Linked DNA regions of Drosophila melanogaster. The gene in region 1 interacts genetically with each later gene. Each region holds a gene or a part of one and is shown in the gene's direction. Other genes may lie near its edges.

Region 1 (10,551 bases):
ATTGTTGTTCTAGCAGATAGGCCAGCTCCGCTCTGTTGGTCCACACTTATAAATTGTGTGATTTACCCCCAGCGCCAGTTTAAACAACAATGTGCGTCAAGTGAAGCATGTGCATGAGTGCGAGTCCTTCCTCCTGGAAGTGCCATAGTGTGCGTGCGTCTGTGTGTGTGTGTGTGAGTGTGTGTGAGGCGTTAAAACAAAAGTCAACAAAGCCGCTCCTCCACTGTGTCTGTATGTGTGCGTGTAAGCTACTAAAATAGTAAATTATGAGAGTGCACACAAAGGCAGCCGCAGCAGCTGCAGCAAGAACAACAACGTGCGGCCAGGCCAGGATGCATCCACCGCTCAAGACAAACATGAGCGCGTTGCATACTTATGTGGGCGCCAAGTGCCTTTGAACTTTGCCCTCAGCATTGGCTATGACTTAATAAGCAGCCCACTCGCGAGCAAGGACATCCATGGTAATCCCACAGTTTGCTAAGGCGGATAAACACGCTGCGGTCAAGTCAGAGAAAGGTGTCATGTGCGACAAAGATTTTCTCAAGGAAAATATAAACTTTGAGGACAAACAATAGGGCTATTAAGCTGTTTAACAAGTACTTGGGCAGCCCTAGTAACGTAAAACAAAATCCCTACATACAATTATAGCTAGGAAATTCCGTTTAAATATCTGAATTTCTTTTAAAGAAAATCCACTCAATAAAGCACTATAAGCGTGATGCAGCTTCTCTCGTTCAACGCCAAGTTGAAGTAAAGTACCTAAAGTCATGTATACTAAAACGGCTTTATGTTTACCAGCTTACAGAACCCCCCCATTCAAAGTTGAATCAGACGAATTAGCTAATGCTTGTTTGCTGCGAAGTCTTTGAAAAGCCTTTGACCGCGCGCTCAATAGAACCGCAACAGCAACAGCAACAGCGGCAGCAACAGCAAGTGCAACAATGTCAATGCACTGCGTTGCTGATAAGAGTTGCTGCAGCAAGTTTAGAGTTTCGCGCTGGTTCCGCTGCCACGAACATTCAACTCAAGGTAAACAAGCGGGCTCCCAGCGACTTGTTGCTATCTTCTATCTTTCTCTGACAGTCGCGATTTCGATTTCGCTACGTCGGTAGGTCGTTAAATTATTTTCTTTACTGCTGCCGCGTGCTCTTCACTTCTACTTCAGCTGTGAAGACGCGGCGATAAGGAAGGCAGCTCCGCAAAAAAAAAAGCTGAGCCAGCGCCAAGTGCAACTTGAGGCGCCTGCGGAGGCGTCGGGTTTCCGCTGCTTCGATCCGAGCCATCGAATATTTACCCATACTCCTTATACCGACGATTTCCGCAAACTTGGCACTTCGAAAGGTGAATTTCAGACTGTCTCAGATACAGAAGTTAATCACTTCGCGATCTGTGGCGTCTCTCTTTTGCGCGCTGACACACAGAAACTTCGCCGGTGACTCACGACATCTGAGAGTGTTGCTTATTGTTTTCTTTTCACAGATAGCTCTTTGAACTCATGCTGCAAATATGTCGCACAAATCGAGCTAAGCTGACTCTCTGTGGATTAGAATATGCGGTTAAATTAACTCTTAGTTTAGTCTACTACTTCTCATTCTCCGCAAGAGCGTTGAATTAAAAAAAAAAAACCCTTTATAACTAAAACTTGTATCAGCAGAGCTTTGAATTTTGGTATGTAGGTCTTTTTTAATCTATTGCATAACTTCTGAAAGTTTGGTGATTATCACGAAGGGCATAACTGAGTTACTATCGGCATACTTGCAGCCATAGGGCTGCATGCAGCGCGTTTACCACGTTATCTACTACTATAGTTTTATGAGCCTTTGGACTAGCTGATTTGAGTACGCCTTAGATAACAGCGATAGTTAAATGCCACTCAAGTTGGCTTGCCCCATTAATCATCAACAGCACACACAAATAGAAACCTATAGAAACCCCATTTGTCAAAATAAATCCAGAGTTCTTTCGACACTGGCCCATTGAACAGTATCGCAATCCATCCACATTGTGCCAGTTCGATAACATTCGACTGTGGGCAAACGAAGTTATGCATAGGTAAGGTTATGAACTCCAGAAACGCTGCGCCATTAGTTCGGTCTATAAATAGCCAGCAAATGCATGTGCCCATAAATTTCACCAGTGCAGCATATCGAATAATGCTCGACTTAATTACACATGGGGGTAGCAATAGCAATGCAGGGGTGCAGACAGCTGGCAGACGACGCGACTCGCAGTGGCACAAATGCACTTAAGTTTTCTTCGCTCATCGCTCTGCTTTTTTTTCGGGGAGGAAGTCGTGGCATACGGCACACATCACTGCCACCGAAAGGAGGGATGTATACTCGTAGTACCTATGTGCGCTATATGGGATTGAACTATGGAACAGGCAGAACCAAACTTGATGTGCATAACTCAAGAAACTGTGTCAAATATCCTTTTTGAAGTGTCGAGAAATACAGTTTAGCTCAGTCTTTAAACGAATGTTATTTTGCTTTCCCAATGTATCTTGACATATATAGTTTGAACATCTTAAGGCGAAAAGGTGCGCAGAACTCAGGTAAATCACGGCATCTGCAACCCTTAGCGAGTGCTCACTGTACGGCAATTGCATTGTAGCTCGCGCCAAAGTCTGGCAGCTGCCGTCTAGATTTCGGGCCTCAGTCTTAGCATCCAAATCTCAACCGGAATCCTTCGCAGACGCAGGACTCATTCGCTCAGTCAATGCTCTCATTGGGCTCTGGGGATAATTGCTGCCAAACGACGTGACATTTCTCCCTGACAATCCTTTGTGCATTCTGCCCGGCATTTCGACTCATTCTTCTCCGTCATCTGTAGCTCAGTTGTAGTTGCAGTCATACTAGTACTTACTATGGATGTTGTTGTTGTTATTGTCACTCCGTGCAAATTCAGGCAGCTCGACAAACAGAATGAAAGACAGACACAATTTATGTTTGTTCGAGCGGTGACGAAGGAAGTGAAGCTACACTGAGAAAAATTAACTTAGTTATATGAGTTTTAGTTTTGGAACTAAGCCAAGAACTTATAGTTCTTAGAAATATTCTAAAGATAAGATCATACTTGCTTGGTCTTGTTTAATTTCACATCTATGTAACAACCAAAATGGTGTTCCTTGCACTTAAGGTGGATACGTTTCTCTCAGTGTCCTTTTATGGCAGCTGCTCCGGCTGAACTGAGCTGAGCTGCGAGGCTCGTGCATTTCGTTAACGTGACAAAAATACATTGATTACATTTTTTTTAGCTGCACTCGACTCGGGGATCTGCGTTTTTGGGCTCTAGGAGCTAGGAGCTGGGATCTGGTAACTGGGAGCTGGAAAACTGGGTACTGGGTACTGGGAACTGGGACCTGGGCGCACGTCCGCACACTTGGCACATTTGTCAGGGCGACGCCGCGATGTAAACATCTTGCACGTAGGATCCGGGGTCCTTTTGCATCCTGGCTGGATGGCACGACAACTAGTTGTAGTTGGAATCGGAGTCCTCGTGCTGCACGGGGTCTTTGAACTGACAAATTACATTGACAACGAATGGGGCGAAATTCCATTCGTGTGCACTCTGAACTCCAACTCCTCTAGCTCCCCAGAACTGTCTCATTTTGTGAGGCTCCACACTGAAAAGTTTGGGGGTCAATGCCATGGCATTTCATATAAACAAAAAGTTAGGCATAACTGTCAGCAAGCAAATAAAATAAACAAATGTCAATAAATGACAATTGATTGTGCTTTTCAAAGTTTTCGGCCCAAACCATTATTAGTCAAATCAGATTGTCTATTTAGTTTACATTGTGTTAATGATTTAAAACTCTCGGTTTGGACACGATTTATTTGTATAGCCATTTGAAAATGGCATTTATTGTCATTTTTTTTTTTTATTGCTACGCGTTGTTAAAATTTCTTGAAAGGTGTCAATAGCAAACAGATGTTAAACGAGATACAGTATTGAATATTGGTTTTATTCTATGAATTTCGATCCTTCATAAGCGAAACATTGTTTTCATTTGTTAGTTTCAGTGCACTTTGTTCATTAGTTGTTTGTGGATTTAATTTGCTTACTTGGCTCTGTGCTTTTGCTTATTGTTTCAGTTAGTTTCGCAATTTGGAAACTATCTCAAATTGGCAATAGTGAAAAGAGCAAACACATCGTGGGCTCCTCTTAATTATTTTCACCGACGAACGGGTGGGCGATCGAACTCTTATGGCTGTAATAATTGGTGCAAAATTGTTCAATTGCCTAATTGCTGTCGATTGCTCATAATTTTTAGTGTAACACTGTGTATTTGTGGCACATTTTCGTTTTATGGCCACGAGCGTTCATGAATGAATGGGCTTTATTTACAGGGCATTTAAAAGTTTCGGGTAATCTTATCACCCAGAAGTGTTCAAACTTGCGCAAGTCATCAAACAAATTTCGAAACGGAAATACCAAAGGGTTGAAATAGTCTAAACGAAAAGATAACTGCCTTAAAATTGCGCCCAAAATTCGCACAAAATCGCAGTAACAATAACAAGCGAACCTAATCAAAAATCCAAAATCTCAGGCAGCTGCGCATGCGTAGCAGATGAAAGAGATAGCGAGAGATCGCACCTTTGAAAATGCTACCGGAACAGCTGGCGCAGAAGAGCGAGAGGGAAGACAGGAGTGAGTGATAAGAAATAGCAACAAAAGCGCATAAACCACCACCAACTACTACAACAACGAACGCGACAAAGCGAACAATGCTCTTCATTATGCCCGTTATTATTAAACAAATAGGGAGAGCGAAAGAGAGAAAGGTGAGAGCGCACCATGTTGATAACACACCCCGTGTAGCTAAAAGTTAGCCAGATTCACAATTAAAGGAGCTAGAAATGCTGATATATGCTCAATTTGATTTATGATCACCTATAAAAACTTGATACTGATAATAGCAGCTAATAATACTTTAATTTTCAGTACCTTAAGACACATAATTCAAAGTATGCACTCAATTAAAACATTGTATTAGATATCCTTAGCTAGAAAGTAGTCAAGCTGCCAGCACTGCCTACCTTACTCACCCAGGTAATTTGACTCCGACTCTCCGGCTTACTGCTCTCCCACCCCGGGAATTAGAAGTCTGAGTCGAAGTCGCCAACTGTAGCCGCTCATTCGATTCCCAGCAGTCGAAGCACGCAGACGCAACCGCTGCGATCGTCGCGAGATATTTGTGTTCGATCATTGTTTTCGTATCGTTCGGGTTAACCACGTTCGTTGAGTGTCGTGTCGACTTGTGTTTACCGTTGTGCAGTGTTAAACTATTTACGCTTTGTCTTGTGGGTGCAGCACCCCCACCACCCAGCCACCCACTACACATACGCACTGTCAAGTTTTGTGGTGCCCAAAAGTAATCAAATGACACGTGCTTGAAATACACATTTTACTATCCATCAGTGGCGGCCGAAACAACAACAAAAGCATAAGCCAAACTTGGGATTACCTCGGCATTGTTTATACAGGAAAGCGGTAAGTTTTGGCCACAATAAACCGTAAAGCACATTCGGAATGCTTTGACCCCAATAAGCTTAACAATAAACACAAATATTCAATACGATTCCGCATACGCCCCTCGTAATTACACATGCCTTAATTCACATAATCACAAACTACAGACATATGTATATATTTATGTACCTCCGCCCATTTATTGAAGTAAATTCCGATGGTTTTTATTTTTGCTCATTCGAGGACCTCGCTAAGCCGCGTTTTATGACTCAGGAGCCTCACAAAGTCAAAGTCGTCAGACCGCAAACTGATTTCGTTCGCTTTTCTCCGAATGTTCTTTATAACGTAGATCCCACAAATGAGTCATCCGTGCGCTTGGGGATACCGGAGTGGATACATAACTGCCTGAGATACGTATGTATCGTATAATTGGGGGAGGCAGTGGGCTAAGGTGACTGATCAGGTTGATGGGGAATGAATGAGCTGGGGGTGCTGGTGACTAAGCCCCCAGCATTGGATAACGCTAATTGGGTTGGGTAAAGAAATGTGTGCACACAGATGTGATAGTCTGCTGGCTAGGAAAGAGTCACCTCTAAGGCAGTTGTGAATGGGTTACATTGAATAACATTCCAGTCAGTCCTCAAAAATATCCAGTTATGTAGCTTGAAATAAAAAACATTTCTAAAAGAAGATTTTTAAGTTTCTTTGAATGTTTTGGTTGGTCTCTTACATTTTAATCAGCTTATGCATTTGAAGAAGTTGGCTTTCGCCACCTCGAATACTTGTTATCTCGACTCATCTGGAAACCTCAGAATATATCAGTGGCACGATTTCAATCTCACCGCATTGTGGTGTTTCGCAGATTTCCCTAATTTCAGTTTGCCCGCGCCTAATTGCAATAATCAAGGGAGCACCGCATAATCTCACTGATCTAGTTCCAGTTTAAGAGCGTTTCTGCGGTCTCGATGGCTCCATTAGAGTGCTAAACACCGGCCATTACGGCGGTCATCAGGAGAGGTGTTATTACCTGGACGTCTGGACGTGGAAACCAGTCGGCACTGGAAGTCACTCACCTGTTGCGGCCAAGAGATCGATATCATTGACAATTGGTGTCGACGGTAGCAGCAGTGGTATATAATGCCAGTTCGATATGTTGCTACCGTTAGATGGGAAATGCCAAAGCAATGATGATTGTCCATTTGAGTGGGATTAACGTTTAATTTGGCTTAGTTTATTGATTTTCCATCGAACAGGTCGGTTAAATGTCAGGGAATGTCGCGAAATGGAACATTTCGTCGATTGCATTTGCTAAACCATTTGCAACTCTTTGTTTTTTGCTCACTCATGTGTCAGTTTGACATTTTGCAACAATGGTCGATTCTATTGAACGGATTATGGCTGCCGCGACTTGAATAATTGCACGGTTTTAATGCGTTCATTCAGTTTTTTACATAATTAAATGATTGTTTAAAACTGATTTATTATTTAATTGTTTGCCACTCGAACGACAACAATTAATTATGCAATGGCGCAAAGATGCGATATAAATAAATAATAATTTCATTATAATCAATGCAACAGCTGCCAGTGGGCGCAAGTGATGCGCGGAAGGGGCGTGGCAAGCAATTAAAATTTATTACTCTTATTTTGCATTTATTCCATTTTAATTTGTCGTTTAAATGTCAAAACTATTAAAATAATTATGCTGGATGCCGGATTAATCAATGCTCTGGCCTTTGTCCAATCGATTTTGATCTGGTTGGGCCGTAACTTTTGGTTAATTAATCGGGGTTACGAGCGGGGAAATTTACCCCATCCACCCCATTCAACTTTCCCCCATTTCACCTTGTGTCCAATTTGTGCGGCTGACCCCAATGAGCCAAGTTCAGTTAACACTTAACCACCCCGCATATTAACTTAATTATCATGATTAACATTTTCTGTGTAATTTCTGTATTTTCGCTGGCCGTTCTCAGTTGAATTTTGCGATGCAATTCCCATTATTCGTACCTTTTAAACTGACCAGAACTTAAATTTGTTATTCAACACGCTTCCCTCGCTTTTTTTCTGTTTTTTTTTTTCTTGATTTGTTTATTATGAAATGCTTTCGATAACGAACCATTATCATATCTTCATGCGATATGGCAAAGAGTTCCGTTGATTTCTTTCTGTTTTCGCAGATTGAAGTGCATAAATTATTTTGTCTCTATTTTTAAATTAATTGGCAGATTGTCGCAGACTTTAGAATTCTATTTGGTCGCAAACTTGTTTGGCGACAACTCTATTAGGCATTTGCATATGAATTTCGACTGCCTTTTGTGCCTAATTAGCCGGCAAAAGTACAACGAACTTCGAAAATTGTCTTATTTTCTTAGTCACGAATTTAATGTACAATACATCAATTTCTACACTATGCAACACACCCAATTAAGTGCAATTTGTGACTTTGTGAGCCTCATTAACTCATCGCATCTCAGCTCAGCTATTTCTCCTCGTGGAAACCGGATTGTTAGCTAAACATTTTTTACATTACTTTGCCTTTGCCTACTAATGAGCAGAATTACTCATGACTGGCCCATGTAGATATAAATATCGATTGAGGGGCTGTTTTTCAATCAATTTAAACGGCGTGCCGTGGCAGGGGGAGGTGGTAATGAGACAAACGAACCACAGAAAAATTCAGTGGTCAAGGGCAGAGGGTCCTGAAATGCCTTCTTCACCGGCTTCGCTGGCTAATCCAATTAGAATTGCGCCGTCGGCTGGGAAGTCGTCTTTGTAGGTGTTCCCTAATTAGATTGGTGTTGTTCGGCCGCAAAGCAATTCCTGTGAAAAAATTGAAATTATTATTTGAGTCTAGATATCCACACATTTCTCTTCCAAATATAGTATGAATCGCACGGCCCGCTTTTCGATCTTAAATCCTAAATCAAGCTGCTTGAAATGTAACGAAGCTTAGGCAAATAGTAATAAAAACTGTTTTTATTGTATGTTTTTCTTAAATAGTTTTAAACTACTAATCCGAACAATTTTCACTTATTTTAACACAAGTAGTTTGCATTGTAACTGACTTTATAGCAGAATTAAAAATTTTTTATAACAAGTGTACGTGGCACTTTACAACACTGCGCTTTGTTGCTGATCAGCAAAGACTCTCTCCGTGGTGGGAAACTTGGAAACTAGCAGAAGGTAAAAAAAAAAAACAATGTAATGAAATAATACCGCAAAATATACCGCGCAGCACAAAATTAACTAACGCCAGCGCAAGCGATAAACGATAACACGCGTAAAAATCTTCTGCGCGAACGACTCATCAACAGTTTTCTCTTGCCGAGAAATATTTGATTTTCGCCTGGTTTTAAAGTTCGCGGAGTGGATACATTGCAGCGGAAGGCTCTCGAAAAATCGGGTTAACTTTTGGCGGACGACGATCGCCGATTGAAGTGGGTGTGGGAAAATGCAAAATGCGGCACTTCGATGAGGAATATCCAAGATTGCCGCACGACGACGTCATCCTCAGTCACAAACACACACGCACACACCACACACAATAAACCAGGTGTGCACGGAGAATTCAAATTCGTTGAGATATTGTTGTAAATTATGAAAGCAATTTATCAAGCGGAAAGTGGAAATCGAAAGAGCTGGATAAAAGGGGAAGCAAAAGGAGGAAGTACGCCACAAACAACAACAGCGACGGCGGCGGAGCGACAGAGAAAGCGCTACAGATAAACGCGCCTTGAGCCGATCAACGAATACACAAAGCGAGCGAAAGAGAGGTGCCGATTGAAAGAAAGAGAGGGAGACGGAGAGGAGTAGAGAACAGCCGAGGGCAAATAATTATCTCTTTTCGCTGGATATCTTTCGGTTTTTTTGACCTCTAGCAAACTATTCCCTCGAGCATTTCTGTGTAAGTACGCTAATTAAATTACAAATAAAAACGGCAAAACGCTATAATTGCAAGCTCATAATTCACAACAAATGGTCCCAAGGCAAAAGCAGCCACAGCAACAGCAACACAACAACAACGACCACAAAAACGAGGGTCAAGTGGCAAGTTATTAACTTTAGAGGGACTTCTTCCATTTAAATAAGATCCAACGTTATTGCTAATAAAGCAACTAGCCTCGCACATTTCAGTTAGTTTAGTTTCATTCACTGAATTTGGCAAAACTTTCCGTTGTTAACGTACAATTATTGTTGTTTTTGTTCTATTTGACGTGTCATGCGTGCGATAAATATTAAAAAAAAAAAGGAAAACAGACACGAGGAAAGATATATAGGAGATGCCGCCGACATATCCGCCGAGCGACAATCTAAAAGTTTACGAAAATAAACACACACGAGCCAGCTGAATGGCCTCCCACTTATGATGCGCCCCCTGCCACGCCCATCGTGGCCATGTTTTGGTTTCATTTTCCATTTTTCAAAATACAACAAGCCACACACAAAATAATGACTTTCCTATAATAATTTTGTGGATTTCGGCCTTAATTGTTTGTGTTTTTCAGCAAACGTTTCCCATTTGTTCGTGCAGATAGAGAAAATATTTGTTTTTTTGGATAGAGAAGTGTTTGGAAAAGAAATAGATTAGCCACGGATAATATTATTAAATTTTCATACACTCTGGTAGAAATTAAAGCTTGAACATGGATATCAGAACTTTGACAAATTGCACATTAAAAATTCACTAAGATAATTGTATTCAAAATTGAGACAACACAATTTTTCCCAGTGCAGTTGTACGTTTATTTATGCATTTGAACGTGTCTGCCGGTTATTTGGAATTCCCATATGCAAACAATCGAAATTTTGGTTCGGCTGTCTACTTACCAGTTTTCAGGTGCATTTTGCAATTTCGAGCGATTGCATACGGTTTCACGCAATTGTGATTTTATCTTTATTGCCAAGAACTTACAGTTTTAGAGTCCGCAGCTTTTAATTGACCATGGGCTAATTACTTTTGCCTTCTGGCTGGTGATTGTTGTTGTTGTTTTAGCTGTAGCCGCTCTTCATTTGGGTAAACAAAAGATAAGCAACAGGTGCTCCAAAGTCTCGAGTTACCACATTGAGAGTTGT
Region 2 (10,774 bases), on another chromosome or scaffold:
TAAACACACCTTTTTTAACCTTACCCTGGAAATAAGAGTAATTTTCCTATTAAATTCAATTTCAGTTCCTGCCAACGTAAACACGAAAAGCACATTACTCATACGCCCTGTGGCGGCCTTCTGTTTAGCGAAATGAAATTTCTCTCCCACATTTCATGTAAAGGAAACTACAAAATAAACTGTAGCACACTCCACTTGAAAATTCAATAAAAAAAAGGGAAGAAATTGATCAAAATTGAAAATGGGCAATAGCTTTGATCTCCTACCAAATCCCCTCCTTCGAGCTTAGTACGTATTTTCGGCCACTCTCATGCCAACGTAAACAAATATAGAAAAGTTTCCAACGCTCGAGTGGCCTTTGGTACAGTTCGGTTCGGTCTCATAAATATTTAAAAATTAATTTCACAATATATTGAGGGGCCTGCGCTGATGTGTGTACTTGTCTGTGAGCGATTTTTCAATTTCATACTTCATTTTATGGCATAAATGCCAAAGTTTCAGTGAGGCTGGCAAAAAAAGAGGGAATATTTGGCTTATATAAGCTGCCATCATGTTTTATAGTTCCATTTCGTATATGCATTTGTGGGGAGGTTCTCTAAGGTGCAAAAGAGGGAGCAAGCGTAATTATATACGACCTCCCACTTCAGGACAAGGCAACGCCTTTTATACTCTAAAACTTGTGTATGTAGAGTGACAGCAGGGAGGTAAAATCAAGGCGGAAAAGTGGAGCAGCCGAAGATGGGGAGCACTACCAAGCACTACCTTTCATATGTAGCACTTTGGTCCAACGTTATCGTATTTTATGTGCAAGTGCTTCGTTGTCCTGCTACCAGGACCTCTATTTTTCGGTTTGCCATGCACACAGCCCCCATTTTCACCACCCCCACAGGTCATGTAGTTTTGCAACATTTTCTGCACATTTGTGCAGTTTTTCATGTTCCATGCTCTCATGTGCACCAGCCAGGATATGAAAATTTTCCAAGCGCAATGAACGAGTCTTGTGGACTGTGAGTGCGCGTGCGATAGAGAGGCACGGCGCAAGAAGAGAGACAGACTGAGTGCATCTGTGTGCGCATTCAAGTTGGGAAAATTGTGCACTTACATTATCATAATGGAAATGCTTTTGACTTGAGTGACCAGGGTTGCCAACGAGCAAATAATTAGGGGATTTCATTGAATTTTATATCAGTTGTATTTATTTCATTAATACATAGTAACTAAGGAATGCACACTTTAATTTGGCTACAAACACTTTATGTTTTCTTTATTATACTTATATTAATTTTAATTACTTTTCTTGGGATTATTAATACATCCAGATTTAACTAGTCAATTCCTAATTACATTTATATATCTATAAATAGGAACTTAGGTTTCTTTATTACTTGGAAACAACATTTTCTATTTAGCAACAAATTCAAATCTTCAACAGTTATTTGATTATAAAGATTTCTGTAAAGATACATGACTGACTGTCGTGGTGAAGATGTGTTATAAAATTCATATATATATACATAACAAATATAAAAACGAAATATAGAAACATCCCGCCATTACTCTTTTCTATTAGACTGGCAACCCTGTCTTAAGCACCTCTATCCTGCAACTCTGTACGTAAATGCAAGCGAAGCCAACTGTGCCATATTGCCCTGCACCTACCCGCCCCCTCAAGGCGGTGGTATATACAGCACCACCCCCTCTGGGCGCCCTAGGCAGCCATTGTATTCTGATTGTGCGCCTTATGGCCCAGGACTCCTTCAGGGCTCCTATATATACACAAGTGTGTGTGTGTGTGTGTGCGAGCGTGGAGAGATGGAAAAATATTATTTTTCATAAATTTTAAAATATACCATGGGCAGGACTGGGTGAGCGAGTGAGAGGGCGAGCCTTGTGTGTGTGAGCTTCTTTTGTCCTGCTTCACCCGTGTATAACGGTAAATGCCAGCCATACGTGGTTATATATTTGTACAATATACATATGTACACGTCGAAGGCAAAGTAGAGGAAAATGTATGCAACATTTTACAATGCAAAAGCCATTTACTTGGGCAACGTAGGAAAGCCAAGGGAGATGGAAAACTAAGAGCCCCAGAGAGAAAGAGAAAAAGGACCGTTTGCGTGTTGGTGTAAGTGTGTGCCGCCTGCATGTGTGTGTTTGCTCGTGAGGCAGTCAGCATATGAAAAATGAAAAGTCACAACTGCGAAACGAAAAATACGAAAAGAATACCGTTGAAATACAGCCTTAGGAAAGGAAAAAAAATATTTCTCCTCTTTGTTTCCCTATATACAACAAATACCGCCCGCAAGCATTTATATACACATAAACATCATGGGAAACTTTCAACTTTTATGTCGCCTCGTCCTCGGTGGGTAATGTAAATAAAAAGAGACAGGAAATGTTTGCGATATGTAAGAGCACACGACACAAAAAAAAAAGGAAAAGTGCAAAATTCTAAAAAGTTTCCACAGAACGCGGGGATGATATGGCAGGAACCATAACTTAGGCACCCGTCAGCTTAGCTTTGTTGGTTGGTCCTTAGGTGCTCGCCCTTCAATATGAAAAATGAGCCAGGGAAGGCAGATGAAATTTTGGGGCTGGGCGATTTTTTCAAGTTTTATGGGGCGTATACGGAATGTGGAATACCAAATGGAAGAACTAAGGGCACAGTTCAAGAGGTGGTTGTCTACTTTTTCGAGCGTGTTAGTTAGGTTCTGCATATGGTAAAAATAACATTTTTTAAATATTCAAGTAAACACCTGAGAACATATGAATTAGAGCTACAAAAACAATATTTTTTTCATATCAATAAAGAAAATTACATTTTTACTGCTTATAAGAAGAATTTTTTAGTTTTTATTATTTACCAATTATCCTTATATAGGTTTTTTGAACGTACACCTATTGTACACACAAGTGCTGCAAGTAAAATCTTCAAAAAGTACGCTCGCATCAGTTTTACTCTTCCCCAACTTCTTTATTTCATAACTATCTTTTGATTACCAAATAGTTACTCCGTGAATAGTTGGGTCATACTCTTCAGAACCTACCCCCACAAACTAAACCATTTTCAGACGAAACCCATCGATTAGTTGGATTTAAGCATCTCGAAACAGCGACAACTTAAATGCTTACAAAACAAGAATAGTGGAAAAGAGGATGTAAAGGAGGCTGCAGAGGAACCAAAACACAAGCAGACGGGCAGACAAGTGAATAGAAGTGACAAACCAAAAATAAAAGGGCCAAGAAGGGAATTTCCTCGGCGCTAATCAATGAAATTAAAGCTGCGGCCAAGGCGAAATATCTTTAAGGACTCACTACTGAGGGGGGGCGGCATGGGGGAGTGGAACATATAGAATAGTGAGCGAGCCAAGCTACTGCCAACTTTAATGAACGGAAATTAGCAGTCAAAAGGTAAAAGCCCTCTCGCTCTCTTTTTTTCACCCGCAGCATCTGGACGCCGCGGCGAATTCGCGCACATGCACACACAATGGCCAACGGCGAAATGGAGAGAGCTCCCCACGAAGAGCGAGCATGCGCCGCAAGAGAGCGCCAAAGCTCCATGCCGATTGGCTGCCGGCTGCCCACTTTGGGTGAGTGTGTTTGTGCGGGAGAGAGCGCGCTTGTTGGATATATTTCCCCAAGATTTTCTACCTCTCCCTCCGCACTTTCTCTCTCTTGCGTTCTCTTTCTGTTCAGGCATAAACAAACCATTTTGAATAAAATCAACAGCAACAACAGCGGCAACAACTACGTTGTTGCAACAATGTGGATCCCAAGTTGCCGAGAAAAATCAACTGATTCTACACTTAGAAAAGTTTTATATATTGGTTATAATACAATTTCATTAAAAGCCTATTAACATTATAAATTTACTTATAATTGTAAAAGAAATGTATTTAAAATACGCTTAGAACCTTTATATATAAATGTATAAATTATAATATATTCTATTTAGAGTAACAATAAAAACCAAATTAAGTTATACCAAGACGTGTTTGTGAATATTTGTTAAGATAAAATATAGAATTTAAGGTTTATTTCTGTTAAATATTAAAATGGTACAATAGAAAATGACTGGAATATATATTATATAATTTTTGTAAGTGTATGGTTACTACAGTTGCTTGTGGTGCTTCTTCTTCCATTTATTCAGCTAGTACTGCTCTTCTTCTAGATGCTTTGGCCTGGTCAAGTTGCATTCAATTGCAGTTTTTCAGTTGCCACTCCGTTGGCCGATTGTCGGTTGTCGTCCTCGCGACTTTTCTTGTTTATTTTTTCAACTAGCTGTGTGTGCGTGACAGCAACAACAATAATCTGAGGACGCCTCTTGTAATTATTTTAATTTATGCGTTTATCGCTTTTTGCCTTTTGCCGCCGTTCAGCGGATTCTGTTGGCTATCTGTCTGCATTTGGTTCGTTTTTTGCCTTGACATTCGCATTTTGACAGCACGGCGAATAATTCTCGGTTCTGCCATCATTGCAATGTCAATTTTTTTCATTTTTCATTCGCTGATATTCCGACTTGTCCACGGGGCGTATGCGTAACGCGAGTTGTGTTGTGATTTCTGGCAAGTGCAATGCCGTCGGAACATTGATTTTGAAAGGAATTAAATCTGTTTTGCCCATAAAATCATCTGCTTTAGTATTATATGTTTTATTTTATAAAACTTATTATTTTTATAAAAGAAAGAAAACGGTTTGGTATATAAGCGGCCATAAAAAAATCAAAAAATCTTGTATCTTGTGCCGAATAAATAATGAATCATATGATGAGAAACAGTACTTGAATCAATAAGAATTTTAATATATTTTATTATATTTTGCAAACTGAATTACTTGTATACCCTTATTCGGTTACTCGTATGAGCCTGACTCCTCTTCTCCTTCTCAATTCCCTTCAAGAGGAAATTTTCATGCCGCTCTAAACTACAAATCAACTTAGGAGCCCCCATATTATTTCTTCCCTCAACGAACAGAAGCAGCGGCAGTCAATACATACATAATTCGGAATCCGATAAGAGCCACCCACCCATATATACATATATAGAACACTCACACACACATATGCAGTACTATTTTCCACCCACACAATACAAGCTTTTCATTTTAAAACCTCCTGTAAAAAAAAAGAAGCAAGAGAAAGAAAAACGAAGTCAAACGCCCCAAAACACCCACGCACCACCCCCTCCACCTGTTTTATGGCTCCCTTTCCCCACCCCCACAGACACACACACACACACAGAGGCACATCGCAAACAGACCAATACACTGGCACACTCACACTCACTCACTCTCTCCAACATCTTCTATAAAAAAAAAGTATTTTTTGTACTCGCTTGACATTTTGTGGATACGTCGGACGTCGTCGGAAGTCGTCGCGAACTTTGCTTCTTTTTGCTCTTTCTCTTTTCTTTAGTCTGCTTTTTTTTCACTTTTTACTTTTTGCCCATATCTCCTTGCGCGTTTTTTTAAGTCAGTCGTTTGTCGGAAGTCAATCAAAAAGCGTGTCTCGGAGAATTGTCCCAAAAGACAGAGATCACCTCACCTCACCTCGACGGCCCACAGAAAATGCAGAAAGGGCGTGAAGCTGTCGCCATTCTCGTTGGCAATTACAATTTATAAAAGTGTGGCAAAGTAAACAATTAAATTATAATTCGTGACAGCAGGCGAAAACCAGTAGAGGAAAAACCAGTAAGGAGGTGCGCCATCTTCCAGCCCAAGTGAGTTTAACTCTTTTTTTTCTTTTGTACCCACTGAGTGTGTCAAGGAGCTTGTCTTGTAACGCCCACACTCAATGCGATCGATGGATCAGCCAGATGGATGATACAGATGCCGCAAGAGAGAGAGAGAGGGCAGAACTGTTTCTTCTGGCCTGTCAGATTCCTAATGAGCTTTCCCAAGTGTCTGCGCGTATTTCAGCGTCCTTAATTGGCCATATGTGTTTGAGGGCCAACAAGTGTCCCGATATGGCTGACTATGGTAGTTGGACGGGCGAACTGAATCCATCATAGAGATCTTGGTCGGGCTTTAGCTAATCATAACAAAATTGTGACCATGTTCTGGTCAAATCTTTAACAATGGAAAATCTTAAGGTTAGATCAAATTAAGATGCAAAATGTATTAATAACAAGCAATTATCTTCAAAATGAGGCAATATATATATATATATATTGAATATAGTATTTGATTTAAAGGATAGTTTAATAACTTTTTCTAAATTTGTTCCATTCCATATATTTTTCATAAACCTTCTGTGATTTGTGTACCCTATCTTAGATGTGCCACATATATATTTTTATGGGTTTTTTACAATTCCACTTCTGGCAATGATTCGATCGATAATCACGACAAACAATTTCTCAACCGAAAGTCAGGCAAATCACATCATCGAACTAAGTTCCCTCGTATCTTTACAACCGAACCGTGTACACCCAATAGAAAATTATGAAAACACAAATTCCAAATTGAAGACAAACACAATGGCAATGTTCGGTATTATATGATCGGCGATACGTTTCCAATTGGAGTAAGCAATTGTGTTTAATTTTAAAACAAGATGAAGTTAAACAAAAATAGCGAAAGCCCCGATATTGTCGGCCCAATAAGGAATTACCGTGCCGATTGGGAATTATTGAAAGTAGCACCGAGGAATAAGTGACTGCATTTAGTCGGCGTTCGCTTTGATCATACCGGCAGATATATCGATTCCTGGCAATTGGTTGCTGACATGCAAAGAACATAATTTACCGACTGGCAAAATTGATAAACAATCTTCGTGTGGCACTTTGGTTGCGGCCAATTTGCCGTCGATACTGACAACTCAATTGATTTGTTTACAAGTGCCATTAATGTTAGTTGCCCCGACCCGCCTCTTCGTGGCTCATATGTACATAAACCCGTTTGGTAATGTATGTAAATAACCATTTCCATAAACGCACTTGCACTTTTCAGCACCGTATCTTATCTGGCCAAGTTGACTTGTTGTTCGGGGCATTTGATCGTTGCGCTTGTAGTTTAATTTCCCATTTCTATTTCCTTTGATTTCATCGCCTTTTGCCGTGATTTTTCGACACCCACCCACCCACTCCTTATCTCATTTGACTTCAATTTGTTTTCAATTTACAACAATTTCGTTTCAAACCACATTTGGTAAATGTGCCCATTTTCATTCTCCCATTTTTTGTTTGCATAATAATACAAAGTTTAGGTTTTAGTGCCTTTTATGGTGTCTACTGCTGTAAAGTTGTATACAACCACTTTTCACTTGTGGGAGCTGATTCGACAGGCCATGGGAAAATTTAGAGAAATGTTTGGACTGCTCAATAAACGAATTTAAAAGAGCAAACATTTAAACTATATAAATTGCGATATGTACTTTTATGACATGTTTACTTTCGAGTGGTATGGAATTTCTGTAATTATTTAACTGAATGATATAGTTTCTCACATATTAACATTTTCATTCAATGCTAGGTACAGTAAAACTTCTAATCAGTAACTTACTTTACATTTACCTTTTAGAAGAGAATATTAACTTTTAAACTTTTACCCTTATATATTTTTTTATCAAAATACAAACTTGTAATCGCAGAATGGGCTGACAATGCAATATACTCATGAGCCAGTTAATAAACTAAACTAATTAATCTCAGTTATAAGGTATACAAACATCCGTTCGATTTCAAACAAATCCACTGTTTCCACCTGTAACGTGAAAAGTCACGTGTACAGGAATGTGGATGGGTCAGTTATTTTAAGGGAAAAATCAATTACTTCCGCTATCGAGTCGTAAAGATCACAGCGCTCTATGTATTTAATAACAGCTTTTTAAAGTGCAGTTAACAGCAAATTAGGCTTTCAGCCGAAGAAGACACTTTTAATTATCAACCCATTTGCAGGCAGCAAAGGAGGCAGAAGGAGGAATACATATCGCCAGCGGTCCATGGGTCAATATCATAATCTGAGGCAGCAACCGGAGCGGCAAACAAGTCGCCACAGGCAGCAAGGAGCAGTTGAGTTGGCCATAAATCAAAGCGACGCAATTTGCTGCTGACGAACTGCAACGCAACAGCGGCAACAAGAGCAGCAGCATCAGCAGCAGCAGCAACAACTATGCCATTACTGCTGGCAACAACACTTGCCAACAATTCCCATCATCAACACTTGAGCACAACAGCAACAGAGACAGCAGCAGCAGCAGCAACAGCAAAAGCAGCCGCAACTGCAGCAGCAGCAGCAACAGCAACCATGTTGCTGACTTCGCCGACAGCAGCAACTCATTGCCTTGCTGCTGCAACATCGGCAGCAGGTGTTAATGTTCAAATTACTGGCCAAGGCGTTTCAGCCACTCTGAACGACGATCAACTGCAACTGCCGGCTAATTATGCCGCTAACGTTGGCCATTTGAATGGCTTTAACCCTAAAGACAACTGCCCACCAGTTCCACCCACCAGCGAGCGGGCTTTTGAGGGATTGCTACGCCTGCCGCAGATACAAGTCAAGCAGGAATTCATGGAGTCGCCGCCAGAGAGGCCTAGCTGCCATCCCATGAACCACCAGCAAGCACCAGCCAATTCAGGTGAGTTGACCTTTTTCTCATCGGAATGGCCATATATTATAAGGCCATATTATAAGCAAATGCATAGGTATTCTTAAATTATGAAAATGTTGTAAATGTTTTTTACGAGTTGCCAAAGCCTTTAGGAGATGGTACACGTTATTAAGAGCTAAATATCTTCATTTATTCTATTAATTGTAGCACTTAAGAAATCTAAAATGTATATATTATACTCCACCGCTCATTTTAACACTACCTTTGGACCCCTTAATCAAAATAATGCATTTTAGTGCTTAAATATAGTATATTATAATATTTTCTATTCTCAGTCTCCATTTAAACGACTGTAAGTTATCCACCTTGCAAGCCCCGCCTGAGTCAATAAAACCCCATAAAGGAGTTAACCCTTTTCAGCCCACCGCCCAGCATCCACACAAATGCATATGTGTATTTAAAAACCCATTAAGTGAAAAATGAGGTATTTACAACGTGTTAACAAGAGCACGGCCATTTTTCATGGTCTTCGGCCCGAAAAAAAAACAGGCCTCAAAAAGTGGGCGAAGCGCCGTATGCCAAAGAAAAACTCGTGCCAAACGCATGCTTATGGGATTTTCAATTTTTTATGCATCGAAACAGATTTCATTTTTTATTGGCAAAGGGGTCGTCGTCATCTTGATAGAGCCGAGAAAAAGGATGCGACACAAGGGACCCAGACCCGGGCTAATATTGCAACAGAGTGTGGTGCCACGAGTGCGAACATTTATGAAGATTGAAAGGGTTGTCAAACACTTCATCCGTCTTAAGGGACAAGGACAAGGAGAACCACAAGGGGTTCAAGAGGGTGCCACACATCCTGTTGCTCCTGCTGCTCAATCCAAAAGGAAAAAGGGGGTTGCAACATCTTGTTTTCTTTCGATTATTGAAATTGCCATTTTGCCGTTTGATGATCTCACTCGGGGGACTTGAAAACACTTTTCGTGACCTCAATTGTTATTTAAAGCCAACCGAGCCCCCAGACCCCAATTTACACAATATCCAATTTAAATAGGACTCATTACCATTCATCTTCATATGTAAATCCATTTCCTCTGGTCCAGCTCGGAAATGCTCACATGACATGCAAAACCCACAAAAAATCGAACCTCCTTAAGTGCGCAATTATCAAAAATTTAATGTAAAACAAAGGGTTGGAGCACTAAAACGAATAAGTTCAACACGCGACCGGAAATTAAGGTCGATTTAAGCAAATGTAACTCACCGAAGTTGGTTTCTTTGATTAGATTTTCTGTTAGATATTCGTGATATTCATTCAGTGCCGAGATCGTTAGCATTTGATGCTATCCATCACCCGACTCTGAAGCAAGCTTCCCATTACGATTTGAGCCATAATTTGCCATAAATGAGCCAACTCCATACAATGCCACATCTGCGGCAGATCAATGATGGGAAATGGTCGGACTAGTTGCTAGCTGCAATCCAAAGGTAGTGATTCCAATTCTAGTACGTTAGAAACTAAAAAAAAGATAGAAAGTGACACTGAAGAGATACATTTTTTAAACAATAATATTTTATTTAATGCTGCAAATGCAGCTCACAAATTATGTCTTTATAAAACAATATAAGAATACAATTCATGAAAGAGTTCGGCACAATTTTTCCATCAAGATCTTAGGAAGTAACACAAACACATGCCCATTTCCCATCTGCATAGGGGTATTCAAAGTAAATGCTGTTTATGCAGCAAGTGCCGGAAATGCAAGGAAAAAGAAAACATTCGGATGCATCCTCGTTTCCCAAGTTTGCTGCCACTGGGATCTGTGAGAACCTGAGATCCGGGTTAACAAAAGGGAAACGGCGTTAAGAACTCAAAGATTTCATTCAGAACGCTCTCGGATTTATCTCGCCAATCTCCGCCAGGAACCGAGATGAACTGTCAGACGGAGATGCTCAATGCATCGCCGCATGAATGAAAATAATTATGATAATTGCAACTGCCACGAGATCAGATGGGTTGGTTGGTCTAGGTATGTTTTGTGGCTTCCTCGGTTTCTCGATTCCCCGACTAATTGTAGGATCACTGGCAGCGGGAACCGCAGCGGCAATTCGATGGTTTTCAGATGAGGAAAACCCAATAAATCCATTGTGCGCTTAATTATTGTCGAAATTCAAATTGAAATGGTTGGGTTACCTGCCTTCTTCTCTACCTGTCCTACCTGC
Region 3 (10,792 bases), 2.9 Mb from region 1:
TGTGCGTCGTCTTAGTTTGATCTTAACATGTGGCATTTGCGGCAGTGTTTTGTTGAACAAGGTGTGGAAAGTTCCTATGTTTGTCGAATCTACAACAGCAATGGAGCTTCTATTTGCGCAGTGTTATTTTTAGTGGATGTGCCAATACGGCTCAAGAAGAAAGTGCTTAACTTAGAGGATGTTTAATATAAGAACATTTAATATTAAGCAAATATTAAGTGCTCTATCACATTTATTGATGATTAAATCTTTCTTTGAATAATAATATGCTGCTTAAAAGAGAACACGAAGTGACTCTGCTTGCATTGTAGTATTCATTTTAGGAAAGCCAACTTGAAGGATTCTGGGTAGAATGGCCACTTTACCCTTCCTTATCTTACGAACTGATTGTTCCTATTGTATTTAGTTATTTTATTCAGAATAGTCCAATTACCTATTTTTGCTTAGTCACTTCTTAGTCAAAAACTATATTTGTCTAGTGCCTGTGCCGTAGATTGTTTCAGAAAATCAACAACTGCTTCAATGTTTAACTTCCCAACAATAACCTTTCCAGCTTTCCAGACGTTTTCAGCAAAACACTGGGCCACGTGCCAGATGCTAAGATGTAAACCACCCACGGATTGAGATTTTGGACCAAACCCCTCCAGATAGATCGTATAAATAGCAGACACAGATCTGGATGCTGTATAGTACTTGAGTACAGTGTTCAACAGACAGAGCTTAAGATGAGACCCGAATTCGTCCTGGCCTTTGGTTTGGTTGTCCTCGTGGCGACCGTTTATGGTGGCACCGACTCATCCTCGAGCGACTCGTCCTCTTCCACATCACCCACTTCCAATTCATCGACTCCATCGACTTCCAGCTCAAGTTCGACACCCAGCTCTTCGTCCTCCACCTCAACTCCGTCCAGCAATAGCACTACGTCTACTTCGTCCTCCACTCCTAGCAGCTCTTCTTCCACTTCGCCCACTTCCTCCACCTCATCGACGACTGCCACAACCACGGCCCCCTCCACGTCCAGCGACACGTCCTCCTCCTCCACGAGCTCCGACAGCGAGGAGGTGGACAGGCTGAGGCGCAGGCTTCGCAGGCTCCGGCGGCTGAGGCGTCAGGAGAGGCGCCAGGAGATTCGCCGGGAGAGGCAGCAGGAAAGGCGCCAGCAGAGTCGTGCTGGAAGAAGGCGCCAACGTAGGGGATAAACCATCGGCTTAACCCGATCGAACAATGAAATGGTCCAAATTGAAAAATAAATGCATACACAAAAGCAACAATCGTAGTTATGACTTGGTAACTTGGCACCTTAAAAACAAGTGAAATCATTTGGATCGAATTGTTAGTCAAACAAAGAAATTCAATATTCGGTTTCATCTTGGAAAAGAAGAAGAAGGCTACACTATATACTCTAATGAAGAATCCTAAGTAAATCATTTTCCGATCTAGTTAGTTGATCAAGTGGAACTGGTCTAAGTGCAGACATAATTCCAGATGATAACTTAATCGATTAGGAACTTGCAAATGAAAGTGAAAAATAGGAGTTTGTTCTAAGTTTTCTTTTAGTGAGAATTCATTCTTTATGTACAATATGCCATCTTAATCTATATTTAAGCTTAGAGGTTATTTAAATATGGCTTTCTGTTCAAAAGGCTTAACAATACATATTCATCTATTTAATAAACAATGTACTGTGTTTGCACACATGCTAACAATACGTTCAGCCAGCCAATCCAAAAAAAACCGTTTTGCTTAGTTGCTAACTAATTGGAGATTTGTCATTTGTCCCTGGCTTTCTAGCCAGAGCATCACCTTCAGGTACGTCAACCCAACCGGCTGATCCACGCCCACTTCGCCTAGAGGCAGTGAATCCAGCAGAAGCCGTGAGATGACCAGGTAGCGTTGGGTCCAAGGACTTTGAGGCTCTCACGGACTTTCCTATTTAGCAGCTTATGGACTGACGATCTGTTGATATATTTTGTATGATTCTAATAGTACTGTGATCCGATAAAATATCTTTCAGATTGTAACGAAAGCTATCTTGTGCTCGTTTCGAATTTTTTTGGACTGAATCGTAAACACTTCGTGGAATTAATTATCTTTAGTTCTAAAGCCTCGTGAGTTTATTTCGAAACAAGGTCTCATATATGTTCTGCATACTTTCCGGGCGTTCTGTACTTTAGGAAATTCGTTACTACGATAGTATGAAGCCGAGTCACTAGTTCAGATAGAACCAAATGGAGTGAGAAAGCTATGCGAGCTAAGAAAGCTTGCTGGTACATGCTGTGATTCTGTGGAGGACTGAAAACATTTCTCTTATGGTGTCTTAAGGTATGCAACACAAAATTGCATTCACATTTATATCTAGGGTTTATATTGGTTTTTCATGTAACAATTTTATTTGCATTGAGTTACAATGTCATGTGAGTTGGGATTCCCATTTCAGCCCCGACGGCGCTGCTGGCGCTGGCGCTCCCTCCTCTCACGGCGTCTCTCCTGGCGTCTCTGACGACGTCGGTAGCGACGACGCCTCTCCTTGCGGTTCCGCTTGGATGACGAAGAGCTACTGCTGGAGCCGGAGGATGAGGAGTCGCTCGGGGAGGTGGACGTGGTGGGCGATGTGGAGGGCGAGGTTGTGGAAGGAGACGGATTAGTCGAGGATGAGCCAGTTGAGGTGCTGGGGCTGCCAGAGGTGGTTGATCCCGTACTTCCGGTGCTGCCAGTGGCCGTACTTCCGGTGCTGCCTGTACCCGTGCTTCCGGTGCTGCCAGTGCCCGTGCTACCGGTGCCCGTGCTCCCGGTGCTGCCAGTGCCCGTGCTACCGGTGCCCGTGCTCCCGGTGCTACCGGTGCCCGTGCTCCCGGTGCCCGTGCTCCCGGTCCCCGTAGTATCGGTGCCCGTGCTGCCGGTGCCTGTGGTATCGCCACCAGCATAAGCGGTCGCCAAGATGGCAATAAGACCAAAGGCCAGGACGAATTGGAATCGCATCTTTAGCTCCGTCCGTTGAACACTGTACTCAAGTACTGTACTTTCTCTGCATTTAATTAGGGTATTTATACGCATCACCCACGATTTTTTTGGTTCATTTTCAGACTGTGTGTTTGCTCCGAATCATCATCATTTGCCGCACGTGGCTTAGTAGGATATTCTTGAGACAATTTGGCCGATGACTATCGAAAATACATTTGTTTGAACAAGTCAACAATGGGGGAATTGTGGATTTGTTAGATCTAGTTTATTCTAAGCAAGTGTGCAAACACAGGCAGCTCGGGTATTGTTTTGAGTTCTACTGAATAGCTATTCAGCCATTCTAGCAGTGCTTTAGCACTCGGCCTTATTTAAATAACCGCAAAACAGATGCGTGTTTGGTTCATAGAGATTTTGAAGGATGTATAAAAATAATATAAGATAGCAATGCCTTGAACGCAGTGGAGTTCGAGTTTTACTAAGGTTCAAGAGATAGGCTTATGGCGGGATTTTGACTCTTTAATGGAAGAGGTTCGTGTGATTAAAGCTGAATTAATAATTACTGAACTACCATAAACAGTTCTAAGGAATCTATACAATCTTTCAAAATGATTTCGAAATCCAATTTCGAATCGAAGCGAAACGAAACGGTCACACTGCTTAACAGTCGCGCCGCGAGACGTTGCCACCCGGCTAATAAAATACCAACGTTGCCGCTCAGTGGTATTCCCGCCTCGGCCGTGCACTGGCCACACCAGCCACCGCCTTCGCTTCGCCGCCCGCCATCCAAATTCGATTCGTTGGTGTTTTTCGCTGCGCTGGTGTTCGTGTGTTCGCGTTGGCGCTGTCATCATCATATCGTATCGCATCGCTCCGCTCCGAAAACCGTGGCAATTGTCTGTTTTTTTACCTGCCAGCGAGTGCGTTTCAGTTGCCCGCCAACCGGCAGGAATCGCAAATTCACGTGCGCCACTCTCCAATTGGACGAGTGCCTTTAAAACAGTGCAACAAGTGGTTTTTACAATTCTTACCAGCATTCAGTTCAAAGTGCCTAACAAACACACGCACACACATACGTAACCTACCTGACCAGCGCGCATATGTGTGTGCATGAGTGTGAGTGATACAACAACAATACAATAGCAGCAACACAGCTACGAAAATAACTAACTGCTTTCGTCGCAGTTTTTCTGCAAGTGTATGGGTTAATTGCGCCGAAAAATGTTAATTAATTGAAGCCCAATTGGAAATCGCCAGTGGCAAGAAAAGCTGAAACTAAGATCTGAACGCAGATCTGGTGAGAAATCCCAAACGCGAGGATCTGTATCGCGTGTGTGTCAATCGGTTTAAATATAGATCAGATCACAAGTGCACTTAAACAAACAGAAGGGAACGAAACAAACAAGTGATTAACCGACAGGTAATTACAGCTGCTCTTCTTTTGCATATTTTGCGCGTTTTCTCTGCCAGATATTATTCGCTTCTCCTTTATTGTTTTACCTTTCTTTCGCTTCTAATAAGACTCTTCTTTTTATCGGTGTGGCTGGAGTTTCTTGTTTTGCCACCCATACAATCGCACAAATACCTGTACAGCACATACACTCACACGCGCACAGTTATTGGCTGATTGGAATGTGTGTGCTTTGTTGTTGCCGTTCTCAATACATATTTGTTGTCAACGGTTTCTGCTTATCAATTGGAAAGCACGAACACAGCTACACCTGCACTTCTTATTGGCTTGGGCAGCCCTCCTGTTGGATAACAATAATGAGTGGCAAATTCTGTTCGGCCTGGCGAAAAATAGTAATATGCACTCCTGGGAGGGAGCTGGCGCTTTTCATTTTCCATTTCCGCTGCACATTTGTACCTTTCTTTCTGTGTCAATCACCTGTTCTGCAGCGCTGACACTTTTCACATGCCAATCGGCGGCAAAAATCAGAGGCAGCAACAAACAAATTAAAACGTGTTATATATACCCTTAGTCCCGTCGAGGTGCCAACTTTTGATCGCCAACTTTTGATTCCCACCGAATTCCATTCGAAAAGTCCAACCAAATCCCATTGTGCTCAGAGTCTTATTTGCACTAATCCCATGCAAATTCCAATTGGCGCGTTCCCATACAGACCAACATCGCTAGATAGAAAATCGTCTGGCGATCTTACGGTAATTTGATTTTGTAGATTAGCTCTTGCTTTTAAATGAAAGATATATAGAGCAGATATATTATGATTATTTACTTTCGATTCGATGCTAAGTAGTAATTGTGGCTTAGCGAGTTTTCACTGTTTTCAGTCACCGAATCTGGCGGTTTCGAAATTCTCAGCTGGCAACACTGATGCCAATTCGCCGTGACGTGGACTCCTTCTTTCGCCGCACAGTCAGCTGGCTGAATTCGCCGGTGTTTATGTTGTGGGCGCAGGAAGCAGGAAACTGCCAGTTGATTTCAAACTTTCAAGCGGCGCGCAAGGACATGCCGCAAGAGTACGGAAGTCGCAGCTCCTAGGAACGGTAGCAACTCCTTCGTACGTGTTTTACTCGCTTGAGTCTGTGCTCCTCAATTATTCACGAAGCAAAACAAAGTTTATGGCTCTGCAACTGCCCGCCGTTGCCTCGAATATTTTCAACTAGTGCAAGGCGAGCTACAAAAACAATGCAATGGCATGGGACAAGTGTCGAGATAGCGAGTGAGACGCACATAGCGTGCAGGAAAGAGAGAGCGACAGTGGCAAAGTGCAAATGTATTAAATAAATAACGAAACGAAGCTGTACAGAGAGAAAAAAATCATGTTGATTATGAACCATCGTAGAGTAAAGTAAAAGTGGGCATGCGAAAGATTTTGAGTAGGGTAAACCCTTGTTTCTCTCAGTGTCATCTAATATGTGCCTGCGGTTTGGCTACTTTCTGCCCTGTCTTTTGCTTTTGGCCGGCTTTCTTGGCGCATTGCATAAGTGTTGGCCATTTCACCTCACTAACGCTCTCCCCTTCCTCCTCCTTCTACCCGCAGATAAGCAGCCAACGTGACGTACTCGGGCGGATTAATAATTGAGCAGATAGCGGATAGCAGAGAGCAGCTAGCAGATATCAGATAGCGAATAGCGGACACAGCAGGCCCAGCAATGGAGTCCATGGAGTACGAGATGGCACGCAACATGACGTTGCTCTTCTTCCTGGAGCGACTGCTGGACAAGGGCGAGCCCCGCACCGTCCACGACCTGTCCTGCCAATTCGGCAACAAGGAGTTCACCAAGGAGATGCGCCAAATCGCCGGTGGCAGTCAGTCGGGTAAGTTCGCACTAACTAAGCCAGCACTTAGTAACTACACTTCGCAACAAGCAAATCCATATAGCCAAAATGCAACTGAAATAAAAATGAAGAGGCCTGCTATATTGATTGAATTGAAAACAGCTCTCTTTAATCAAAAAACTGGATCGAATAAAGTCAAGGAAAGTGCGCTGAAAATGCCGTGGCATTCAATTCATGCTCTCATTTGAAATGTCGCCAGCCGAGCCTGGGAAATTGGAAACGTGTGCGGTGGAAAGCGGTAGTGTACAGTGGACATTGGACACTGAACGGTGGACACTCTTGTTCGGCTGCGGTACATACATATACAATACATATTTGTGCACCTGCGGGTTTGCGTTGTTCGTCACAGTCACAGTCGATGATTGTGTTGTTCATGTTGCCTTCGAGTGGTCGGCGTCCAAGTGCACATGTCATTGCCGTTTCCATTTCCATTTCCAATTGCAGTTTGCCGATTGCCAGTTGCCGCAGGGGAGTCAGTCAGTCAGGCCTCCTCATTTTCCATCTCCCGGCTGATCTCAATGCCAAAAACCACAAAAACATGCCAAGGGTTTATCGCCTTTCATTGCAGCCGCCAAGCTGCAATCGATAATGCTCCACCCTTGTGTTTTCCACAAGTGGTATGGATATATGGGTATGGGGGTGTTGGTTTACAACTGGTCTACGAAAAACAGGCAAAGATTCTCGAGATTCTCGACTTGTGTACACGTGTTGTACTTCCATTGACAAGTCGGCACATGGAAAACTCTGGCCATGCTGTTTATCAAAATGCACGGTTAACTAACGCGAGCGACTAAAAATAGACGCAACAAACAACTTTCGGTTTTTATAAATAGCTACCACTTAGTTGAGAGTTGGGAGTTGGGTGTTGGGTGCTGGGAAGGTGCAATGCACTTTCCCTCGAGGCGAAGATATGTGAACACATTTGTTTGATGTTCTCACTTGTGGAGAGGAGGGTTTTGAAAAAGAGCCACAGGAAATGGCACGCATTTGTTTACTCCGCACCTTGGGGATTTATAGCAAATCATTAAGCTACAGCGAATCATCATGAACTTGAGTTTTATGATAATGGTCTTATGACATCGCTAATTATAATAAAATTAAGGATGTACTGCATAATTTTTATAAGATTTTTGTCAGTATTTTGTGAATAAAATAAAAAGTAGTTGACCAAATGGGGAATGTCCTACCTTCCTGAACTCGCAGTGAAATTCCCTATCGAGTGGTATTCCCAGCTAGAAATGTTAGATTTCGACCATTTTTTGCAAAATTTGATGATGTAACCCCTTATAAAAAATGCGAAAAATGATCAAATTTTTTAATTCTGAAAATCGGCAGGAAAGTGATAGGGATCTTTAGTTTAAGTAAAAAGCTGCACAAAACGGTCATTACTTTCGCTGGGCGATTGTTTTTAGCCAAGTTATGAGCTAAGACCTGTTGGAGATTATCAACTTTTGGCCATAATCGTGTTTAAGACAAGAATTACCCATACTGCTCTTGCTTGTCACACTCTTCGACTTCGACTTGGCTAATTGCAACAAGAAAACAAACATTTAACAAAATGTTTATCACATTTGTTGATTTTTTAGCCATGTGCGTGACTCTGCCGCCAAGACAAATGGTGTTTACCTCGGGTGAGCAACATTTTCGCCGAAATACAATAGTTTAGTCTGTGACTTAAAGCGCTGGTTTTACTTTTGGCCCAGAACGCAATAGACAAGTTGGAGAAAGTTCAGGGAAATACGCGGCTAACACGCAAATCGCAGCTGGATTAGAAGAATAGACTGGGAAACTGAATTAATTGAATGGGAAATGTCAAGGTCTGGCTTATAAATAGAGAAGAGTGAGTTGCGCATTCCCGAAATTGGATGTTCCAAGTATGGAACCATCGAGCCAACGTTAAGCAGTTCCTTGGCCAATGGCATTTCGATCCATTTCGGCCACTAATCCCGGTTTTCATTCCACCCGGGACTGACCTAAAATCCCACAAACATATCTTATGCCTCTTCAATTTTGTCAACGTGTTGTTTGCCCAACTTATAAGCCGTTAAGGCCGATGGGTAGCATTTTGCACCCCCGCCCACAATAGTCGGCCATCCAAGTCAGCCATTATGTGGTTTTTGGCCAGGAACGGATTGGGGGATTGGGGGAGTGGCGGAAACTTTGTAATAGAAAAGTGTCGATTACGTGACAAAAATGTTCAATTGAAATTTCAATAAAATTGCATGATATTCTGGGGACTGAAGACCACATCCATTTGTTGCTTCAATAATAAATGGAGGTGTGTGTGTGCCACCATGCATATTCCCCAGCGATTGATGAGGGTTCTCTGGTGGGGAAACATCTCCGGGAAATTAACGTTGAAAGCAATTTTCTAGCCGGGCAGGAGGAGAAACTCGAACGGCGTTTATTGGGTTAGACAAACAGTTTTGGAGAGTTTGCTAAACTGAACTGAAACTCGTTAATGGCGAGCTTAAATTTCGCTGCTAATTTAACGGCCTGCCAGAAGTAAACACAACCATTTAGCCCAGTTTATCGTTTTGCCATTTTGACTTGCCAGCGGCTTTGAATAATTGCACACACACAAGCAGCTGGGAAAAATAGAAAAGGCATTCGCACCAAAAACAGGCCAAGCCTTTTGCGAAGGTTCGCAAATGTTTTTCTCTGTGTGGGTTTTTTAGTTTATTTTTTTTTTTCGCTTTGCGTAATCGATTGCCAAAGCAAACAAAACACACGGACAGGCAAAAGTTGTCAAAGCAAATGAAATAAATACTTAAGCTACACAGAAATCAATTTTGTAACTAATGGCTGAGTTGGTTTATTTCGCTATGCGAAAAGTAGAAAATCAAGATAGAGTGCTGTCTAAAATTCAATGGAATATAATCACAAAACCTAAGTTGAATAACATACTTAAATCTATTGATTATCAACTTTTAACCAAAAGTTGTATAGATTGCCTGATCGATCCGCCAGCTAATTTCGCTCGAACCTTTTGCGTTTTCGCCACGCATTTGAATTTCTGACATTGTCGTAAATTTAACGATTTTATGTCGAGCGAAGGAAATCCTTTAACGCCTGCCAGCCGTTGCTCCCAACCCCTTAACCCTTGAAACCCCCGGAAATCCACCAAGGAAATACCCCCGTTGAAGCTCCACATTTCCCGGCATTGCGTGTGTGCAGCCAAGGTCTTTATGCTTAAGTTGACTTTTGCTTTTTTCCCAAAGTAAATGGAACTCGCATTGATTTTTGACATTAATCGCAAAGGGCGAAACATTTTGTTTAAGGCGAAAGTGAGTGTGGCACTCATTATTTGCCAACTTTGTGCCATTTGTTTCTAATTGATCGCTAACCGTTTTGACAGCCAGGACGCTGTGATGAGGCGGCACTAATGAGTTCCTAATGAAGTCACGACCCTGGGAACGTTCTACATTGGAGGATGTGGCCCACAGAGTGAGTAACCCCAAGTGAGTCATAAAATCCGGAGTTTACGGCCAGGCATAACCCTTTACCTGGCTGCTCTCCACTTACATTTCGATTCACAACATCCCGGGGAAATGCTTTCATTTCGTTTCGTGTCTTTTCGTTTTACGTTTTCTTCAATAAGCGGCAAGGCATAAATATACATAAATTTATGGCCAGTGTCCTCGGTGCATTTGAAAATTGCCACCGCAAAAAATGTGTCCAAGTGGGTCGAGCCGTAAAATGCGGCAGAGTTGCGCCCCCCAAGAATCCCCAAATCCGTAACACCTGCTCCACATCCACTTTGGCGGTCGGCGGTCGGCAGGCGGCTGGCGGGTGTTGCCAAAGCAGTTTGCTTGCCAAGAATTGCGGCTAAGCACACAGCCGCAGACAAATACAAACACAAAATATTCAAATATTCAAATATTAGCCCGCCAAGTGGCCGAGTTGTCTATATATTTGAGCACATTACATTACATATTCTCGGGCTGGGCGTACGCCCTCGGTAAATATTAATATTGAAATGCCATGAACTTCGATTTGTTCCACAAATTTCAATTTCTCTAAGTAAACATAAAATTGAATTACGTTCGAAAGGATTTGCCGTTTTTTTTTCCGCTCTTCCGTATTTTGGGCGCTGCAAATTACTAGCCATTTGTCAGTTTTGTGGCTCATTTGGCAGCCGGGTATGGGGATGTTTGCCCAGGGATTACCCCGCGACTGACTAGCCAAATCCGTCGGCAATTCAGCTAGCTCATACCTTGCATATTGCCAGTCCGACTGGAGCAATCAGTGCTCTCGCTTCCTTATACGACTTTACAGCCAGCCGAGTTATGTCAAATGCAATCGAATTAATTCATGTCTGGCATCATGGAGCCAAATTCGAGTGACACGCAACAAAACCTCTGATCCATCCATCGCTGCGCGTTGTCTTGTCACGTCATATTACCCAAAACCAAACAATGCCGAGCACAACAGATGGCTATGTGGGCGGGGGGAGGGAGGGTGCTGCTGCTGGCACAATGGGACACATGGAGAATACTGCTCATCGCATTCCTACCAATTGCGGATGAT

The links.
Region 2: of insc (region 1) and pdm2, changing one enhances a phenotype caused by changing the other (phenotypic enhancement), as found in Drosophila melanogaster (one study listed by BioGRID).
Region 3: of insc (region 1) and egl, changing one suppresses a phenotype caused by changing the other (phenotypic suppression), as found in Drosophila melanogaster (one study listed by BioGRID).

The regions. Positions count from the first base shown.
Region 1 is NT_033778.4:20,830,615-20,841,165, reverse strand, and holds the start of insc (inscuteable), read left to right. Parts: upstream 1-5,137; 5' UTR 5,138-5,496; intron 5,497-8,747; exon of another isoform or gene 8,748-9,382; intron 9,383-10,551.
Region 2 is NT_033779.5:12,652,354-12,663,127, forward strand, and holds the start of pdm2 (POU domain protein 2), read left to right. Parts: upstream 1-4,811; 5' UTR 4,812-5,720; intron 5,721-7,898; 5' UTR 7,899-8,112; coding exon 8,113-8,578; intron 8,579-10,774. UniProt on the Drosophila melanogaster protein: DNA-binding regulatory protein implicated in early development. Involved in neuronal cell fate decision. May act as an octamer-dependent activator of transcription.
Region 3 is NT_033778.4:23,739,786-23,750,577, reverse strand, and holds the start of egl (egalitarian), read left to right. Parts: upstream 1-3,748; 5' UTR 3,749-4,378; intron 4,379-5,393; exon of another isoform or gene 5,394-5,480; intron 5,481-5,963; 5' UTR 5,964-6,075; coding exon 6,076-6,241; intron 6,242-10,792. Other genes in the region: CG34105 (uncharacterized protein), read left to right, coding at 726-1,199; CG13560 (uncharacterized protein), read right to left, coding at 2,434-2,979.